3 linked regions of the Oryctolagus cuniculus genome follow. The protein of the gene in region 1 purifies or fractionates together with the protein of each later gene. This does not show direct contact. Links are inferred from orthologs where the notes say so. Each region holds a gene or a part of one and is shown in the gene's direction. Other genes may lie near its edges.

The links.
Region 2: the proteins of WASF2 (region 1) and CYFIP2 purify together in Homo sapiens (co-immunoprecipitation; 3 studies listed by BioGRID and IntAct, with this or other methods). This does not show direct contact. The link is inferred for Oryctolagus cuniculus from reciprocal best matches to the Homo sapiens genes WASF2 and CYFIP2.
Region 3: the proteins of WASF2 (region 1) and ABI2 purify together in Homo sapiens (affinity purification with mass spectrometry; 3 studies listed by BioGRID and IntAct, counting the BioPlex papers as one, with this or other methods). This does not show direct contact. The link is inferred for Oryctolagus cuniculus from reciprocal best matches to the Homo sapiens genes WASF2 and ABI2.

What each region holds. Positions count from the first base shown.
Region 1 is NC_091438.1:144,152,982-144,156,629, forward strand, and holds part of WASF2 (actin-binding protein WASF2), read left to right. Parts: intron 1-2,300; coding exon 2,301-2,435; intron 2,436-2,958; coding exon 2,959-3,112; intron 3,113-3,648. UniProt on the Homo sapiens protein: Downstream effector molecule involved in the transmission of signals from tyrosine kinase receptors and small GTPases to the actin cytoskeleton. Promotes formation of actin filaments. Part of the WAVE complex that regulates lamellipodia formation.
Region 2 is NC_091437.1:44,298,253-44,301,900, forward strand, and holds part of CYFIP2 (cytoplasmic FMR1-interacting protein 2), read left to right. Parts: intron 1-742; coding exon 743-817; intron 818-1,750; coding exon 1,751-1,904; intron 1,905-2,821; coding exon 2,822-2,978; intron 2,979-3,494; coding exon 3,495-3,591; intron 3,592-3,648. UniProt on the Homo sapiens protein: Involved in T-cell adhesion and p53/TP53-dependent induction of apoptosis. Does not bind RNA. As component of the WAVE1 complex, required for BDNF-NTRK2 endocytic trafficking and signaling from early endosomes.
Region 3 is NC_091434.1:36,665,763-36,669,410, reverse strand, and holds part of ABI2 (abl interactor 2), read left to right. Parts: coding exon 1-36; intron 37-3,093; coding exon 3,094-3,240; intron 3,241-3,648. UniProt on the Homo sapiens protein: Regulator of actin cytoskeleton dynamics underlying cell motility and adhesion. Functions as a component of the WAVE complex, which activates actin nucleating machinery Arp2/3 to drive lamellipodia formation.

The sequences.
Region 1 (3,648 bases):
CTCTGCCTGTCAAAAAAAATAAATAAATAAAAATAAATTTAAAAAAAGTTTCCTCTAAGCTTAAAAGGATGTGTGTATTCACAATCTTAAAAATCATCTATAGAGCCAGCGGGTATTGCCGCCGCCTACAGTGCCACCATCCCATATGGGTGCTGGTTTGAGTCCCAACTGCTCCACTTCTGATCCAGCTCTCTGCTATGGCCTGAGAAAGCAGTGGATGATAGCCCAAGTGCTTGGGTCCCTGCACCCATGTGGGAGACTGAGAAACAGCTCCTGGCTCCTGGCTTCATGTTGGCCCAGCTCCAGCTGTTGGGGCCATTTGGGAAGCAAATTAGTGGATGGGAGACCCCCCACCTCTGCCTTTCTGTAACTTTGTCTTTCAAATAAATCTTTAAAAAATAATCTCTCTCTGCCTCTCCCTCTCTCTATAACTCAAATAAATAAAAATTTAAAAAATAATAATAATACATGAAAATCATCTATAACATGGTGAAATATAGTTGTCTGCGTTTTACAGGTAAGGAAACTAAGTCTGAGAGATTGTGACTTGCTGAGTACACAGGACTAAATAGAAAGCTGAAACTTAACCCAGATTTTCTGCCGCGATGTCTGCTGCTCTTTCCATGTCTTGTAGTGTCCTTTGAGTCTGCCTGACGTGAGGTGACAGTGGGGTAGCCTTCACAACACCTCATTCCCTCTTCCCTCTTCAACAGGAGAGCTCATTGTTACCCCAGTTTAGGGTGCTTTGTAAGATTTTATCTGGAAAACGGCTGTGCTACCCCAAGCCACAACTCCTACTGTCATTGCCCTCTTGGCTGAGGAGCAGAAAACCCTGGTACTCTCTTGGTGACCGAGGGGTAAATTGGTGCAGGCTTTCTTTTCCTTCAGAACAGATGGATATTTTTGAACCTGGTTTATTTTCCACGAATAATGTTGCACCTTTCTCTGCTTTAGCCTTCCAAACACAATTTTCCATTGCCAGGATGAGCATGATGCAGTGTGGTTTTATAGGATCTTAGCCATATTATGGACCGGGATCAGACAGGTCCTCCAACCTGCAGAGTAGAGATGAGGCTCCAGTGTGAGACCTTCGAGCAGAGCAGGGAGCTTCCGTATTGTTCAGATAACAGAACCATTCAGTATGTGGGACTTGCTCCTTCCTGATTAGAAGCCCTTATTGACTTTCATTTACCAGCAAATCAAACTATGCAGCTGATTGGTCTTCTTTCTCTCCATGTTATACTAGAAGGTGAGCTTCAGCCACACTACAGGTTCTGTTTCGACTTCTCAGACGAATTCTTCCCCTTGAGATGAGGACTTAGGCCTAAATGTAGCTTAGAAGCTAAAAATCAGAGCCTGCTTATGTGGGTCCCAGAAAAGTTATCTTTTGGTTGGGCCAGGTTGCTTATGCCTGCCTTCACCTTGCAAATCAAAGCTCAGATGGTGTCTTTATTCCTATGCAGCGCTTTTCATTCCTAGGAAGAATATGCCTTGTGGCTTGGAATGACAATATGGAGGTAGTGTCAAATTGCTGTTATGTTTCTTTGGCTGCAAATTCTCCTTGCATTCCAGGGTTGAAAGCACAGAACTCTTTTCTTTTTGTAAAAAACAAGACATTGTGGAAAGAGACCGCTGGTATGTTGTTTTTCAGGGAGGGCTTGAAATTTTCAGCTTTTCACTTATTCCCTAAGATGTAGATTTGAAGGGTTGCAACCCAGAACAAAGACTTTGAAAGTTGTAGGTTATAAAAGATAAAGTAACCTTTCACCCCTTCAGAGAAGTTACACATCTCTGCTTGTGGATTGTTGATAAATTCAAGGGCCCTGGAAGATACCATGACTCATCACGCTTGTTCATTGCATTTTTGTGGCTCCATTGAGGAGGATATTTCTTATCATATTAATTGTAGGCACCCAGAAGGTCCTCTTAACTCCCAGTCTGTTTTCCAGAACCATTTTACCAGGTGATTTTATAGAAAAGCAAGGGGCTAGGGCTGTAAGCAAATATGTCTGCTCTTCCAACATCAATTTTTTGCATTACACCTTTCAGTTTTATTCAGCCTGTTTCAAGTTTCATGACTGTCCAGTTATCCAGGAAGGCTGTGCTCTCTACAGACTGCCGAAGCTAAGGAGAAAGTATCTTTATCTCTCAGAGCAAGCAGATTCTTCGAGTGTGGCACTTCCCTTCGGGGGGGTGCGGGACAGTGTATGGGGATGGGTCGTGCCGGCCTTGGTAGCCAGTTTCCTGACCATTTTTGTCACTTCTGTGCACTGGTGACTTGGTTTCTTTGCTTTTTGCAGGTAAATATGCAGAGGACATTTTTGGAGAGCTCTTTACTCAGGCAAAAACCTTTGCCTCTCGGGTAAGCTCCCTTGCTGAGAGGGTTGACCGACTACAAGTTAAAGTCACTCAGCTGGATCCCAAGGAAGAAGAAGGTAAGGAAGCTGAGCTCAGCATTTGCAGGCTCTGCTGAGCAGTTTCTTCGAATTTTTCCCCCTAATTTATAAAAAAGCAAGGGGAAAAAAATCACAGAAACCTATGGAGTTCTGCTCTGAAATGACAAGCCTGGGTGGCGTAAAGAAACCTTTTAAGTTCTGCCTCACCCCCACACACTCTCTTTCTCCCAATCCCCCAGTTCCCCAGCGCTCAAATTTCCCTTCTCTCAATTGTATTTTGCTACCATAAAAGTACTTGGAAGATTCCTTCCTCCTAGGAGAGGCCTGGTCTATCTGGCCACATAGTAAACCTTTGTGTTGCCTCATTTTGTTCAGTCGTGAAATGGCTGGGCTGCTGACAGCCTTGTGGGGCTTCCCCAGAGGGGAAGGAAAAAAAAAAAAACCTGGCTGCAGACAGCCGCAGCCAAGAAATGCAGCAGCTGAGGCCTCTCCGACTGGGGTGACTCAGTGTTTGCTCAGACAGCCTGTCGTCCATTTTCTAACGCCTTCCCTCTCCTCTCAGTGTCGCTGCAAGGAATCAACACCCGAAAGGCCTTCCGAAGCTCCACCATTCAGGACCAGAAGCTCTTTGACAGAAACTCTCTCCCAGTGCCTGTCTTGGAAACATATAATACCTGTGATACTCCTCCCCCTCTCAACAATCTTACCCCATACAGGTAACGGCTGGCTGGCTCCTTCCTTTTTCCAGCCTGAACCACAAACAGCACTAGGCTCTTTTATCTGAAGATGTTGTTTACATCAGAAGAGTCTATCAAAAAGCTTACTCCCCATCCCAGAGTGGCTTGTGGCAACAGAAGCTACAGTTTACCCTGTGAACAGTTGTCATTTATTATTGTTTGGTTTCTGAAATTCATAGTGAATATAATATATATTGAAAGTTTGCTGTAACATTGCATCCTGCAGAGTTTAATTTGGTATAAACCAGGTCCATCTTGGATTCCATCCAAGGAATTTAGTTATTATAGAACCAAAAAGGACTTTTGTTATAAAGGCGGTCCTACAACGTGGATCCCAGGGGCAGCATGCTAGCAAGGCTCCCACTGACTTGGAAACCACTAGGTTACCAGATGTTTGGGCGTGTTAGTGGGGCCTGCCGCATGCGCTGGCTGCTCTGGCCCAGAGAGGTCCTTCCAAAGCTTAAGGAGCAATTGGCTTTCTTCCAGAGGAGTTTCGTTCACTGTGTTTTGAACAT
Region 2 (3,648 bases), on another chromosome or scaffold:
CCTGCAGCTAGGTGGCGCGTAGGTATTTCATAGCCGCCTACACAGCCAATGGCAGAGTCCCAGTCCCTTACCCTGTTGGGGAAACTGAGGCCCAGAGAGGGAAGTGACTTGTCCAAGTCACACGGTGCGTCCCACGTGGAGGGGGGACAAGAACCCAGGTCTCCTGACTCCCCCGCAGGGCTCCGCTACAGCCGTGGGAGTAGCCCGATAGACATGGGGAGTAGCTGCAGTGCGGTTTCTTCCAGGAAATAACGTGTACGGTTACAGAAGTTGGGGAAAGCGTTCACCCTCTTAAGGATGCAACCAGGTTTTCAGACAGTTAAGAGTCTGGCGGAAGCAGCCGCACGCAGCAGCACACGGGGCTCGACAGCTCCGTTCTCTGGGGCCCCCAGGTGGTGGCTAGGAGAGGGCCTCTCGGCTCTCCCGGAGGAGAAGGTGCCGCCAGCAGCAGGGGTGCGGGAAGGGAAGCGCGCGCAGGGACGGTGTCCCGCGTGTCTCTGGCTGCACTGGCCCTGCAGGCCCGGCCATGTGGTGGGGAAGAGCCCAGAGAAGGCGAGGGAGCCCAGGTGAGCGTGGTTGCTGGGAGGCTGGAGCGGCTCGGCGGCGGCCCCTAGCAGTCGCGATGGCTTTCCCACCGTATGCAATACCTCTTGCTTTTCTCTCTCTCTCTTTCTCTCTCTCCCTCCTCCCTGTCTCTCCTGCCCTCCCATCCCCTCTTCCTTCTCTCCTATCTGTGTCTTAGGCCTGCCAGTGGTCCCCGAGGGCTTTGTTTCACCCCACTGGTGGCACACAGGGCCGAAGAGGCTGCCGATCCCTGGTATAACACCGCCTGGCGGGGTTGGCTTGGGTACTGCTCTCCAGGAGGCAGCGGGAATGGACTAGCCTGACTCCTCAAGGCCCCTTCCAGCCTCAGATTCAGAGACAGATGGTGTGGAAAGATCTAGATTAGCAGAGAGAACGAACAGTCCCACCGCACTCACGCCCTTGGCGCTTAGGGCTCCCAGTAAGCAGGAGTTAATTGTCCTGTAGCCTCCTTTGTAAGTACCGACGTGAGCCCACTTTGCACCCAGGGTTTCTTCAGGCTGCACCGTTGCACGCTCGCCACCAGAGGGCGCCTTCCCTCCTGTGATGGCTGCAAAATGCAGAGGATCAGAACTCTGAGCTGTGGGAGGGGAGGGGGGCTCTTTCGGATCTTAGCCCATTTCACACTTCCGCAGAAGGTTAGAGCTGCAAGGGCCTGGAGGGAGAGAACACCTGGTCCAACCCCTCACAGTATGTAATACCACTGAGGTCCAGAGTGGGTGCTTTGTTGCCTAAGGTCACACAGCAAGTCAGAGGCAGTGCCTGGCCTTGAACCCAGGTCTTTTGACTCCTAGTCCAGTGCCCCACCCACGACGCCACTGTGGCTGTCTGGGAAGGCCGAGAGTGACATAGGATGAGGTTCTCCTCTGAAGCCTGTGCCCTTGGCTGAGCAGGGCCGGCAGGAACCTCTCCCTGGGCCTCTTAACTACCACCGGTGGTGGCCAGATCCACCCACCCAGGAATGTCTCAGAGTTCTGGGCAGAGCTCCTTCCCGGGGTGGCCCGTCTCTCTCCTGAAGGTTTTCACAGTTGCAAATTCGCTTCTCTGCCTCACATGGTGCCTTCTCAAGACATTGTTTTTAAGAGCAGAAAGAAAACAAATACAGCGCAAAGCAAGCTTGGCCCAGGATGGCGGCTGACCCCTAACCGCGTCTTCCTTTGCCTTCAAGCTGTACATGGTGCGGACGATGCTTGAATCGCTCATCGCAGATAAAAGTGGCTCCAAGAAGACCCTGCGAAGCAGCCTGGACGGGCCCATCGTCCTGGCCATCGAGGACTTCCACAAACAGTCCTTCTTCTTCACACACCTGCTCAACATCAGTGGTGAGCTGCAGAGCCCAGGGCAGAGGCGGGGGCTCCTGCCTCCCGCGTGGCTGAGCCCCTTGGGCCGGCAGTGGCACAGTCTGCCTGCAAGGGAGGATCCCCACTTCCTGGTGGACTGCGGGAGCTGGGGAGGAGGACCAGGCCCAGTTCACCTCTTCTGACGTGGTCAGCTCAGCAGCTGTCCAGGGCGCATTTGTGGCGGATTTATCAGGACGTCTTTGGTGGAGCAGAGTCAGAAACGGGATTGCAAACGTGGAAACACACGAGGCGTTCACTGGCCTTTGGCTGCTAAGCCGCAGCTGGGAGTTGAGCAGTGCCCACTCTCCCCACAGAAGAGCCTGGCAGGCTGCAGCCCAGCCCCTGTGCTCTACCCGTCCTCTGCTAGTAGGGTGCACATCCTATAGGACAGGTGGCAGACCAGTGTCCTAGGGACGTGCGGTTGTCCTGTGTCTCTTGGCATTGAAGAGCTTGACTCACTTCAACAACCAGTCAGAACTTGTCCATCAGAGAGTTGCCTAGGAAGGGCCTTCAAGGCCTCTGAACCACACAGCCGGGGTCAAGGAGCCACAGCCCAGCTGGAAGTGGGTGCATGGCGACTTCTCTTAAAGGTGTGTGTTGTACACTTAAATCATGTTTTCACGATGGCTCTGTAGGGGGTGATGGAAATCTGGGGGCATCTAAAGTCCTCAAACACCACCGCCACTTCCACCACACATCTCTAAAGCTTAACAGATGCAGCTCTCCAGGCAAATATTAGTCTTGTCTGAAGTACAAGGGCACAGGATGTGCTACTCAGTATGTGTGAGGTACCTGCTGCATACTTAGCAGAGTGAGGATAACAATAACAGGAAGAAAATCAAGAACTGTGATTTTTTGTGTGCTGCCTATAACCCAAGGCTCTCTCCCTACACTTCCAGAAGCTCTCCAGCAATGTTGCGACCTCTCTCAGCTCTGGTTCCGAGAATTCTTCCTGGAGTTAACTATGGGCCGGCGAATCCAGTTCCCCATTGAGATGTCCATGCCTTGGATTCTAACAGACCATATCCTGGAAACCAAAGAACCTTCCATGATGGAGTAAGAGGCAGGATTGGACCTGTAAGGAGGTTCCTGGGATGCAGGTGGAAGGTGGCTTTCCAGTGAGCTCATCCTTTGCAGAAGGAAGGTCTGAGCTGACTGTAGGTCAGGTGGGGTGTGCCACCAGGGGTTAGGACACACCAGGTCTGGCTGCAGAAAGATCCGGGAGCGTCCTCCCAGCCCACCTGGCCATCCTGTGTTTCATCAGCCGCAAATCAGCGCTGCTTGGGAAATAAGCCCTCTTTTGGGTCAGGCAGCTGCTGCCCTTCCCTGCCACCTGATTTGTCTTAGTGCCAGACTTCAGCTCAGGCCCTGCTTGTCTTAGCCACTGGGGCTTTGGATTTCCGGGCAGCCTGTAGAGTAAGTCATTTCTAAGTGGTGGAGGCACTGGAAACTCTCCTCCCAGCCCTGAACTTGTGCCCTCTCTCCTCCGCCCTCTGTCTCTGAGTAAGGGGCCACCTGGCTGCCTTGCGAGACGCCCTCACCAAGCTGCTGGCTCTCCGTGTCCCCCTGCAGGTACGTCCTCTACCCTTTGGACCTGTACAACGACAGTGCCTACTATGCCCTGACGAAGTTTAAAAAGCAGTTCCTGTATGATGAGATCGAAGCCGAGGCAAGTGCTGAGCGGCCCCTGTTCCTGCAGTCCTGCCCTGAGATCTGCGCTTTTGCA
Region 3 (3,648 bases), on another chromosome or scaffold:
TCCCAGTCCCCCCATGTCAGGGAAGGGGACTCTTGGGTGAGTATATAACTCAGTAACTGCAGACTGATTTCACCTAATGTTGTGTTAAAAGCTAAGCAGAGCCTGTATTTAAATTATTTTTGAGTATTTGAAGAGAGAATGTTTCCTTCCTAGAATTGATTATATTATGGGTATAATTTTCCCTTTTCCTGGACAATACACATTTATACATCAGAAATATTTTGTTTAGAAATTATTTTTCTAATACAGTTCAAATTGGGGGTAAAATCCTAGTCCAAGGTAATGGTTTATTATAAATTGCAGTCTAATTTTTAATTTCCGTTTTTTTCCAGAAAATTTTTGCGGTCTTTCTTATTGCAGTTGAACTTAGACTGTCTTTCTCAAGAAGGTTGTATAGATGATAAAGTTCTGTCTAACATGTTATGAGAATCTTGAGCTGTAGTTTGCTCCTACAGATTTAGGCTCTGGATTTGACTTTTGCAAGCAGAAATGGTCAATTAATGGAAAAGCCTGACATTCTTCCATGGCCTCACACTGTAAACATGGTTTATCTTGATCGAGATTTGTATTTGCTTGGGCATAATGTAGCCCAGAAGCCAGAGGAGTGCACCTGTGGGCTGGTTCTGCAGCTTATTGTGTGTTCCTGCCTGCTCAGCCTCTAAACAGTTCAGTTTTTTCATCTGTAAAAGGGGGTAATATTTGTCCTTTATAAACTTTTCAGGGTCACTGTACCACAATTTGGATTTTTAAAAAAATGTATAAAACAAAGACAATATGTTTTGAATACCATTGGCTATAGGATATATGGCAAACAAATTTTAATTGACAATCGTTTTTTGGCCCCCTCACCAAAAAAAAACAACCAAAAAACACAAAGTACAAAAACAAGATAAACAACAAAACCGAAAATCCAGTCAAGCACTGTGGCACTGTGGGTCAGGACAGGATAAAGATGATTGGGATATAAGGGAGGATAATGTTGGGGGAGGAAGTATAGTTAAGACAGTGAAAGACAAAAGAATAAAAGAATAAAAATTATTTCCAGTCAGGAATAGGACGGCTTTATTTGAGATAGACAAAAAATTTTTCTTCTTTGATTAGAAAGGAATTAATCTAATGGACCAAACTTGAGGGTAGCATGCAAGTGAGATGTTCACGCACAGTGGGACAGGGATGAGGGTACAGTGATCAAGAGGAACTGTTCATTCATGTAGAACATTTACATTCCTATCACATATATGGCCTAGAGGGTTTTAGTAGGTATTAAATCAGCAGGATAACCTGCTGCATGTCCAAGAAGAAAGTTTTGTACTCTGATATTTTGAAGATTTACTCAGGCATCAGTATTTGTTTTCTTCGTGTAACAGCATTGGTCGTGTCGCATCTTTGTAGACTGTAGGGTTGCTGAGCCACGTGGCCGTTAGATGGTCGGAGCCTGCTTTTTGGGCATAGTCTTTGTCTAGTCACCGTGTTTGTTCTTCTGCCTTGGTGGTGGTGGTGGTGGTGGTGGTGTTCTTGTTGGTTTTTGTACCTTAATTGTATCATTGCTTCCACTCTGTAGTTCTCAGTCAGTAAAGGTTTTCTTCTTGAAGAAAACAGCATTTTTATTGTCTGGGAAAAATTACCTAAAAATCATGTCTCTGGAAGTTGCTCAGTTTTCTGCTTAGTCATTTATATTTGCATTAAAATTTCAGAAATGTTTGACATTCTTTTCAGTATTTTAAACCCAAACTCCTGACATTTCTTTTTTTTTCTTTTGGCCCAATATTCCATCAAGTGCACCATATTTATTTTTAATTATTTATATGTATATATTTATGCAAGGAGAATCTGCAGCTCTCAGATTCAGCAGGGTTGTTGCAAAATTATCTCATTCAAAATCAATTAGCCATCATTTAAGGGCCCAGGAGAACAGTGTTTAAAAGCACTCTTGGAGCCTTTTGATAAATGAATTATTGAGAAAAATACGTAAGTCATTTGAGTAGCATTATTTCAGGAAAACAAAACTTTAATTTTCAAACCTTGAGATGCCAGTTTTAATTTTTTTAAAAAAAAGACGAGTCTCATCTGTAAGATGTCAGCTTTTTAAAATTTTTAAAAGATTTATGTATTTATTTGAGAGGTTTGAGAGGTAGAGTTACAGAAAGGGGGAGTGACAGAGAGAAAGGTCTTCCATCTGCTGGTTCACTCCCCAAATGGCCGCAACTGGGGAGCTGGGCTGATCTAAAGCCAGGAGCCAGGAGATTTTTCTGGGTGTGCCACGTGGGTGCCAGGGACCCAAGCACTTGGGTCATCTTCTACTACTTTCCCAGGCCATAAGCAGGGAGCTGGAATGGAAGAAGGGCAGCCAAGATACAAACCGGAGCCCATATGGAATGCTGGTGCTGCAGGCAGTGGCCTTACCCACTATGCCACAGTGCTGGCCGCTCTGGTGGTCTTGTTAAAATTTTTTTTTTCTCTACCACTTGTAAATGTTGAACTCTGAGGTTGAGAAGAGGAAAGGGATATCAAGGTGTAAGTTGAGGGGAAAAAGTGAGGTTGTGAGTGTGGAAGATGAGATTAAATTGTGTGTTTTGTGTACACATATACTTTAATGTATTTAGTATCTAGAAAGGGAAATGAGTTGTTGTGGGTGGTATCGATAGGCAGTATGGGGGTTATGGATTCAAAACTCGAGGCTTGTGGTCCCCCTGTTAGGTTACCCTAGGTGAGGGAGGGAGGGGAGAACGATAGTAGGAACATTCATGCAATGCAGCTGGGAGACGGTGACATACTACAATAATCTCTTCTAAGAGTTGGGTCTAGGACACATTGGCATACATGGTGGAGAACCTTGTGTTCTCAGAAAAGTAAATGAACAAAATTGCATTAGCACAGGGAAATGAGGTTGGAGATGGCAAATTAACAATACGTGCTCACCAGAACCCTAATGATGGAGAAGTAAATCTTTAGGAAAGACTGCAATTGGTAGCTGGGTTATGTTAAAAGACATTTCCTCTCTCATTTTCCAATTGTATTGCACTACTGGCAGCTCTGAGTTTATTGTGCCGAAACTTGCTTAATCACACACTACATACGCTCTTCTTTTTGTAGGCGGCACTCCCCCTATCGCACACTGGAGCCAGTGCGTCCTCCAGTGGTACCAAATGATTACGTACCTAGCCCAACCCGTAATATGGCTCCCTCGCAGCAGAGCCCTGTGAGGACAGCTTCTGTGAATCAAAGAAATCGAACTTACAGGTATTTTCTCTACCTCAGCGCAAAATGTGATGGTCATAGTACCATGATCCGGTTAGCTAACCTCGATTCAGTCTCTCTCATTTTCTACGCGCTCAGTTCTTTTCCTCACTCTATTCTCCCAAACCTCATCTGATTCCACCTCTCTCTCCTCATGTTCTGATGCCACTTTGAACAGTCAGGAAGCCGAATACAAGCAGAGACAAATCCAAGTGCAAATTGCTCTATGAGGTTATTAGTTTAATTGATCTGCAAAAAAAATTATGGACCAAATGTGGGAAATTTCTAGTTGTTTTTTGGTGGAACTTTACAGATGAAAAACTATACATAATGAAATATTAATATGGGATAGTATATCAAGGTACCATTGCAAATTAAAGTCAATCAAATCATCTATACAAGAAATTTTTT